Styela clava: one gene and its partner. The protein of the gene in region 1 interacts with the protein of each later gene in a pairwise test. Links are inferred from orthologs where the notes say so. Each region holds a gene or a part of one and is shown on either strand. Other genes may lie near its edges.

Region 1 (4,295 bases):
TACACTGTAAATACCTACGTAATTCTGTTTGTGGACGCTTTACTGAACTCTGAGTTAGTGATACATTATAACTAAAAGTTCAAGGTGGTATGTCTGGTTGGATTTTGGTTGTGGTGTTGTGAGTATTAATTTTGAAATGGAAAAACAAGCTGAGATGTTAATCTACCTAAACCATTATGCCCATGGTAAAGATGGCCACACGTTGAATATAAATATCACTATTTAATTCGATTCTTTCTTTCAACTTCTAGATCAGTGATTTTCAACCCTACAGAAGTGAAAAACACTCAATATACAGGGTGGGCAAAACGTAGAGTGACATCTATTCTTAATCAATTAAATTATTAACTGTTAACCAACATGTAGCCCGCTCTTTATATACATATATAACTAAATTATGACCGTGTATTTAGTTATATTTAAACAACATACATATATATAAATATACAGACTCTGGGATTTAAACGTTAACTTGCGGAACCCTAGGATGCCGCGGGTCCCCGGTTAAAAACCATCGTTTCAGACCTATATAAGTAAAGAAGCGAGTCAACTTACAGCTCAAATAACGGTTATTCACATATTGATCATAAACTAAGTCAAAAATAAAGTTTAGGAATCGCTGTGGAGATACACGTAATCGATTGTGAAAAACACAACGAGTCTATAAATGATAACTTGTTTTAGAATACAAGTTAGGAATCCAGCATTGTTTTAACATCTACGAAAACGTGGGAATAGTTCAGATTCTTGTGATGTAATTATTTATCTACTCGGAAAGATGATTTTTGCATAGGAGGTAGAAATCAGAGCTTTGTAATGTGAAGGCAGACTACGTCATCAACATTAACGATACCAACTAGAGAAGAAAACAAAACACAAAAAGTGATGACGCGAAGCTAAAATTAAACAGTGTATTAAATTTGTCAAAGCTGCTAAATCGTTCAATGGCAGGTGTTTTACACCACACTTTATACGACGTACACGATCTCGTGACATTGTTTGTCAGGTGCCATGAGAAATCGGTCATGCCACGGTTGAACGAGATGTCACATAGATTGAATGACATATATGGTTTTACAAATCCAACCTTTTGAATGTTTTTTGACATTTTTATTTAGACTGTATCATGCAACCGTTTGCAGAATGTTATTTCAAGCTGCGATAGATTCCTCGCAGTTTTGGTCGATATCAGATTACAAAAATAGGCGGCGTAAGAATGTCAGTATATATATATATATATAACTACTACAAAACGAAAATAACGGTCCGTAATTGTAAGATGTTGCTAACTAGATTTTCAATTAAAATTACTCCAGTTTTTGCTTTCTGTCATCGTCGGACACAGAAGCGTGCTTGATTAATATTATAACTGAAATAATGAATCGAAAGGCATCGAAATCGACTTTGAAGTTTAGTTAGAGAGAGATCTACCATGCTATATAGCTTTGGATCGACCTTAACTACGCTGCATTTCCCATGCCTGAAATGGATATCAGCTATTTCCATTCCCAGACTGCGTAGGTGACAAACACTGATGTGCGCACCACCATCGCTCTGAACTAACATGAAATATTTAATTTCAAATTAAACTTTTATCGATGACTTATCCCCCCATAAATCCTCGATAAAACGGCAGTGTGCGTTATTTGAACAGAAAAGGGCGCTCCCGAAGTATGTGAACCATGATGGCGCACAACCTGAACCCTAACCTGGTACAACTACTATGTTCAGGTTGTGTGTCATCTTGGTGCACATACTTCAGGAAGTCCCAAAACAGACAAATATTCCCAATAAACATAAAGTATGACTTACTTGAACAACTTGCTCGTATGCAAATTTCGCATCGCACCAACTGGGTCTTGATAAAAGTTCCAGATCGTTAGTGAGACGAGTTCGATTCCGATGTGAAATTACGTTCCCATTGCTCGTTGGTGATATTTCTTGTCCATTACAAGAAGGATTTCTACAGTTTTGCAAAGAATGTTGACTGCACCTCGTACCCGATGAATGACCATCGGATTCGTTGGGTATTGTACCCTGAGGAGGCATGTTAGTCCGTTTTCCACGATGCCTCAAAATTTTACTCGAGTGACTTGATAAATAGGTTCGATTCGATTCGTTTTGCGTTCGATTCAAATGAAATGAAGAATCTTCTAATATTACTCCGGGACCAATAGCGTCAGCTCTTAGACGTGCGGAGTTTTTGTTGTTGTTATTTCCGCAAAAAGTTCGACTGCAACGCGCTCCTACGGTTTGACTGTCAAAATGCACGCTACTATTCGCACCACAGTTTGCATTATTATGCGTGTTACTATCACACGCATTATTCGTGTCTAAGTTTCGTGATCTATATGACAAAATTTCACTTTGTCGATTCGAGGAAAAATCATTCGAATTTTGTATTGATCCTCTCGTCCGATGGTGGCGTGAGTCTTCATTTGAATTTGCTGTAGCAATTTGACCTCTTTGACCCCGTGAAACAACGCTAAATGCACTATTGGACTGTGGGTCATCGACAGCGAACGGATGATGGGCGTTTCTTTCGCCATGATTGCATGAATCTGATCCATCTAACATTGTGGGTTCTTCATTTGCATAAATCCACTGTTATTGATGTTTGAAATATTCCCAGTAGCATTGTAAAGTTTATTCGCATATTCGAATCATGCTTAAGTTTAATCATCTGCTAGGATATAAAGTAATCAATCACTGGTTTTAGATATGACAGTCTGCTTTTGTTTTTTTTTACATAAGAGGTTAAACGCTAAAGTTGGATTAACCTACCTATCTTCATTGCAAAGAAAGAAATTTTTGGTGTTGTTAAACGTTGTTTGAAGACCTATTTTTCAAGGAATATCGTGTTTGAATCGTTGGATATTTATTGCAGAATTCATAATATCCAAATAGGAAAGCGTCAAGAATTACTTACCGAACGTGGATCGTGTGTGTGACCTGCAACACTGCGTAATTGAAATAAATGTACGCCCAACATATATTTGAGAGGTTCTAGTAAAATACTTGTTTTGCGGTGCTCTTGAGGTGATTTTTCATGCGGCAAAATTTCCTGCAGCGAGATTTCTTAGGACGAAATCTCCTGCGCGAATTTTCCGAACACGTATTTGAAATACGGAAAAGAGAATATGGAGACAATATTTGGTATAGATGAGAGTTTGGCATCAACTGCGCATTCCCAAAGCTTGGTGACATTCTGCTGTTTAGCCGCTGTAACGAAAACTACGTAGCCTACACTTCGCGTAAACGTTCATTATCAGTATCACCCAACACGCTGTTCTCAAAACCAAATACGTTGATTTCCTTTGTTATCATAAAATATGCCAATCAAAAAATTTGCGTACAGCAATTCGACGCGTAAAACACCAGAAGGTCGTTCACGGAACACCAACGTTCCGAAGAACATCGGTTGAAAAACACTAGATTAGAGGAAAGAAAGTGAATTATGGACTTATAGAGCCGTAGATTGTTCTGCCCAAGATTTTGTATAATTTTAACATTAATTTAGACACTAACCTTTGATATTTGTATTTCAACTTTAAAAATTTATTGATGTCTCGATCACTTTTCAAAAACGCAATAAATGATAACGTGAACCAGTAACGTTCTCCTGTCGTAATATTTACAGAGTATAATTTCATAGATACTCCCGTAGTATGTGTACCAGGTTAGAGTTGGACCCTAATTTTATTCAGATTTTCCTTGTATTAGTTCCATTACGAATTCTGGGACTGCCTGTGTCAGCCAAGTGAATATGCTCTCACCAATAGGTTTCAGTCCCTACACAACTTGATGTGAAACGGGAAAACAAAATCAGTTACTTCCATATTAGTACACATACTTCTGTAGCGACCTTTTCAAAAACATTTTTCATAGAAAATTTGTTCGTGATAGTTTTACCACATAAACCACTGCATCCATCGTCGATACCTTTGTTATTTAACGCATGAAAGATGTTTTGAAAATTGTTTGTTGTTACAGGGATGAGGCAAATGGGGCGTTGCTCAGAAGAAAAGAGTAAAAAACAAATCAATTTGTTTTATTATACGTTATAATTTCCCCCTATTCGATAGTAAGGTTGAACATAGAGAACTATTTATCATCATCCGTTATCCCAACTCTATAACGAAATACACACCCAATAGATCTTTTGTAAATAAAATTTGATCAATTGTGTAGCAAAATCGAGACTTTCTCCAATTTAAAATATCTATTATGATATTGAATAAGAAAGAATGTAAGCATGATAAAATAGTAATAGTTGTAAGCATGTATTAGAAAAT
Region 2 (4,295 bases), on another chromosome or scaffold:
AATCCAATGAAAAGGCAATGATAGCTCTGTAAATCAAAGATTCCAAAAATGTAAAACAAAATTCATTATAATTTTGTTTATATTAGATGAATCTATAACATTTAAATTTGAAAATTTATAGCATTCTCGAAACCAAAGTAGCCTACAACTTCAAAATAAGCTCTCCTGGTATTTGAGATCATTTTCGCAAACTAAAAAAACACCAAATAGCAAAATATTTAGTCAATTCGAAATACAACTCACCACTCTGTTTTCATCAAAAACTTCAAACAGTAGTCTGTTTTCCTTTGGTACCACCTGATAAAGTGGAAGAAACAATTAAAATTTGACGGGAGCATATGAGAACAAGAGAAATTGGAATAACAGAGGCAAACTACATACAGGCCAATGATACTCAACAAGTCTGGCTATTACATTTTAAACTGAATTTATCACAACCTATATTATTATTACCGTATGTTACATAAGTTATTATTGTTCCACTAGACAAGTTTTATTCTAGAAGACTCTCAAATTTTTCGGAACTACAAAAAAAGGCCAATGAAATTCTGGCCATAATTCCGCTTTTGTTACATTACCGATATATATCATGAAGGACGAGAAATACATGTGATTGTGGGCTAATATGTATATATGTGTGCTTTTCAATAATTTACAGGAGTTCAATATTAGGATTACATATACTTATGTGTGATATAAAATATCAAGTAGAGTGCGAAACTGGTCCACAAAAATATTCTGTTTCTGATTCTTTGACATCATTACCTCACTTCCATTTTTGTTTATAGTCTTATTATCAGCATTTGAATTATAAGAAGTGGGCATGGCTTAGATTCAGGCAGCAGGTTCTAAGACATACCGTTCCAATTCTAATATACCAAAATCACATGATGTGAGCAAGATTTGCCTAATTTCAATTGATTCTTAAAACCTTGCTTCTGTTCAAACAAATTTTGATGGTTTGTTGTAATTGCAATGATCACAACAATAAATCAAGTTATTAGTTAAACTTCTCAGAGTGGATTAACAGGACACATAATTTAGTTTTACCATTTAAAAATGAAATTATTGTCCAAAATCAGTCAGAATCTCAAACAATCAATACATCACTTGAATGCTATCGGAGCATCCCATATAATACTTACTCTAAAAGTAAATTCTTCCTCCCATTTTGGATTCAAGGTCTAAAAATATCGGAAAATAAAATGAAATGGTTATCAACTTTGCTACATAATATTATTCTGAGACATACATAATAGAGGGAAATTGAAGTAGCATAATTGGCTGTGATCTATTATTTTTATTCAGAAAACCGAATTATATTGAACATTAAAGTGTGTACCGGTAAATAGAATAACGTGAAAGTGAATCAAATCTCAAGATTAAGTAAGGAAGTGATGAGTGCCTATTAGAAAAGTTTGTTTTGTCGACTTTTAAATCCAAGCAATTTCACCGTTACAATCCTAATTTTAGTTGAAAAACACATTGAATCATATTATGAAACTGGGTATTATCAAAATTACAATTGTTACCGTAGATCTTTCTTTCGCCAATATTAAAATATTTGACTAGTTTGAATGTTATTTCATATTCCATAATAGTAATTCTTACGCAAAATTCAGAAAATCAAAATTCAGAAAACAGCTAACTCTAATCCATGATAAACAAGATTTTAAACCAGTAGTAATGTTAAAGTAAATGACATTTTAAAACATAATATACATAGTCTACATAGTTTTATGTAAACAGTCATTGATCCTGATCTGCGGGGAAAGAAACCTAAAATGAATTCATATTTCATGACTTTACTGACCCCAGTTAAACATTGCGTTATGACTATTGTAAAGTGATGTGGAAACATCTATCAAATACTAGGAATCATATAAATCAGAGGAAATTTCGTACTTTTTTCTTTGTTTTGGTTGTTGCAGTTCCATAGCTTTCATAGGATTGCCCGAGTGATATTCGCTTTGGTCGATAGAGAGATACCTTCACGTATGGATCACTAAAATTATTAAAATCAATGATTGATTTCGCATAATATTTGTATGACTAATGTAATAATGTATATTTCTTAAACCCTCTTTGGCCAATCTACTTCAATCACTCACTAACGATCTACTCTTGTCTGATTAGCAGAACGCTCATCTCAAGAGCCATTTATTACACACAAGATTTTAAGCAAAAAGTACTTGACACCTTTCTTAGAACAAAGCTCAGATCCTTAAAATATGTCAAAATCTCTACCATAATAATAAAAAATAGTAATTTGCAGTAGACATAATGAAGAAACAGATATGCATAATAGGAGAAATTAGTACCTGGCACCAAATATATCCTTCTTAGCAAGATTATGACCAGATAAGACTTTTACTCTCACCAGTCTGTGGACATTCAACTGAAAATAAATCGAAACATGTTATGAGTTGCTATTTTCTCAGCACAGCCATATACACACACAATACAGCGAAGATTGCTTCAACAAATTCATTTAATGAAGAAAACCAAAACCACTTTCTGTATATAAGATAAATTATATGACAGGAGAAAGGAGTGGTTTGATTTTGGTGCACTTTCGAGAACAAAATAGAAAAGATGTCATTACTAACTGTGCCACTGGTTTCATTTTGCAAAAAAAGGAAAATTCTACTAGATATAATGTTAAACTATATGGCTATAATAAAATTGATTTGTAATTGGGATATATCCAAAAAATAGTACTTTGTGCACATTGAACAGAGTCAATTATTGATGGTATATCTCATCATGGTGAATGAAAATTTTTATAAAATCATGATTTCATAATAATATCAATCTTCTATTATGGTATGTTTGTTTTAAAAAACATTAGTGTGAGAATATTGAATTTCCAATATTTCAATTGATAAACAATTATTGTTTATTTATATGTTTATAAAAAAAATCAGAAAATATAAGAATACCTGGTGATTTTTATGTCCATATATTACTGAATCAGATGAGGCCATACGAAGAAAATGAAGATGACTTATGCAAGCTCAATCAGTACAGTGTCCTAACTATTAATCCTACAAAATCTTGAGTTTATGTACCAGCAGACAGTAATATTTATATAACTATAAGTTAGCTGTATCTACACAAAAAATTACAGGATTTTACACTTAACTATGTCATGCATCATAACAAAACAAAAAAGCAGCATAGGCCCAAGAGACATTTTAAGTTCTGAATAATTTATTGAAATCCTGAATCTGGCATACATGCCAGACAGAAAACTTTTTTATACAGCACTTTTATAGATAATATCAATCATTATTGCAATGTAAATATCCCAATTTGATTTTTTTATAACAAATAAAGGCAAATGGTGTATAAATCACTGAGCGGAATATGTCCCTCGCTCTTTGGTCAAAATATTTTTCATCAATGCAAATTAGGTCAACTTGAAAGACATTCAAAACAGAATACAACTTATGTATTAATGACAAGCAGCCTGGAGCAAACGGATGATTGAAAAGGAACAAAATGTGAGACAAAACAAAAAAGCGGTGTTTGTAATTGGCAGTGACTAAACTTCAACAAAACGAGGAACTACGGTACGTTGTGTAAACATATGGCAAACATAAATCCCACTAAATTATTTGATTTGAAATATACAATTCTAAATTATGTATAGCTAACATATTTACAAAGCTTTTTTAAACATGTCATGAATCGAAGTTTGAATACTCATAATTTAGAAACAATATTGTAGTAACTTCCTCCGTGATTTAAAATTGAATAGTATATTCAATATTCTTTCACAGCAGCTATAACAGAATATGTCGATCACATTGAAAGAACCCAAGTTATCTCTCTCACTGGTGCCAGGAAACGTGTTTGTCTTTCCCAAGTATTTTTCTCTATGTCATAAGCTTCCACTGGTTCTCCAAAAAAATTGGTCCCCCATATTCCAGAAACAGCATATATTTTGTTGTCGTGTACGAATCCATGACAATAGTTTCTAGGCATTGTCATTTGCAAGATGTCGGTCCATACACCAGTGATGGTATCATAGAATTCAGCATATGATAGAACAGTTGTATTTTCACCTCCAATAACATAAATCTTGTCATTATAAGTCACCGCAGCAGCACCATATCTAGGAGTCTTCATTGATGCAACTCCTTGCCAATGCATTGTCTTCAGATTCAATTTCTCAACAGTGTTTAAAGGTGTTTTTCTTAACAGACCACCACAGCTGTATATGCTATGACCAACAGCAGCCAAGGCATTCATGTCTTTTTCTTCAGACATATCAGGTAGAGGTGTCCAAC

What was found.
Region 2: the proteins of protein patched homolog 1-like (region 1) and E3 ubiquitin-protein ligase NEDD4-like interact in a two-hybrid assay, tested with the Drosophila melanogaster proteins (2 studies listed by BioGRID). The link is inferred for Styela clava from reciprocal best matches to the Drosophila melanogaster genes ptc and Nedd4.

What each region holds. Positions count from the first base shown.
Region 1 is NC_135260.1:6,281,013-6,285,307, reverse strand, and holds the start of protein patched homolog 1-like, read right to left. Parts: upstream 2,686-4,295; 5' UTR 2,578-2,685; coding exon 1,813-2,577; intron 1-1,812. UniProt on the Drosophila melanogaster protein: Segmentation polarity protein. Acts as a receptor for the hedgehog protein (hh). Associates with the smoothened protein (SMO) to transduce the hedgehog signal leading to the activation of wingless, decapentaplegic and patched itself.
Region 2 is NC_135257.1:7,635,074-7,639,368, forward strand, and holds the start of E3 ubiquitin-protein ligase NEDD4-like, read right to left. Parts: upstream 3,085-4,295; 5' UTR 2,988-3,084; coding exon 2,943-2,987; intron 2,399-2,942; coding exon 2,322-2,398; intron 2,006-2,321; coding exon 1,906-2,005; intron 1,185-1,905; coding exon 1,146-1,184; intron 298-1,145; coding exon 244-297; intron 1-243. Other genes in the region: kelch-like protein 7, read right to left, coding at 3,808-4,295. UniProt on the Drosophila melanogaster protein: Essential E3 ubiquitin-protein ligase which accepts ubiquitin from an E2 ubiquitin-conjugating enzyme in the form of a thioester and then directly transfers the ubiquitin to targeted substrates.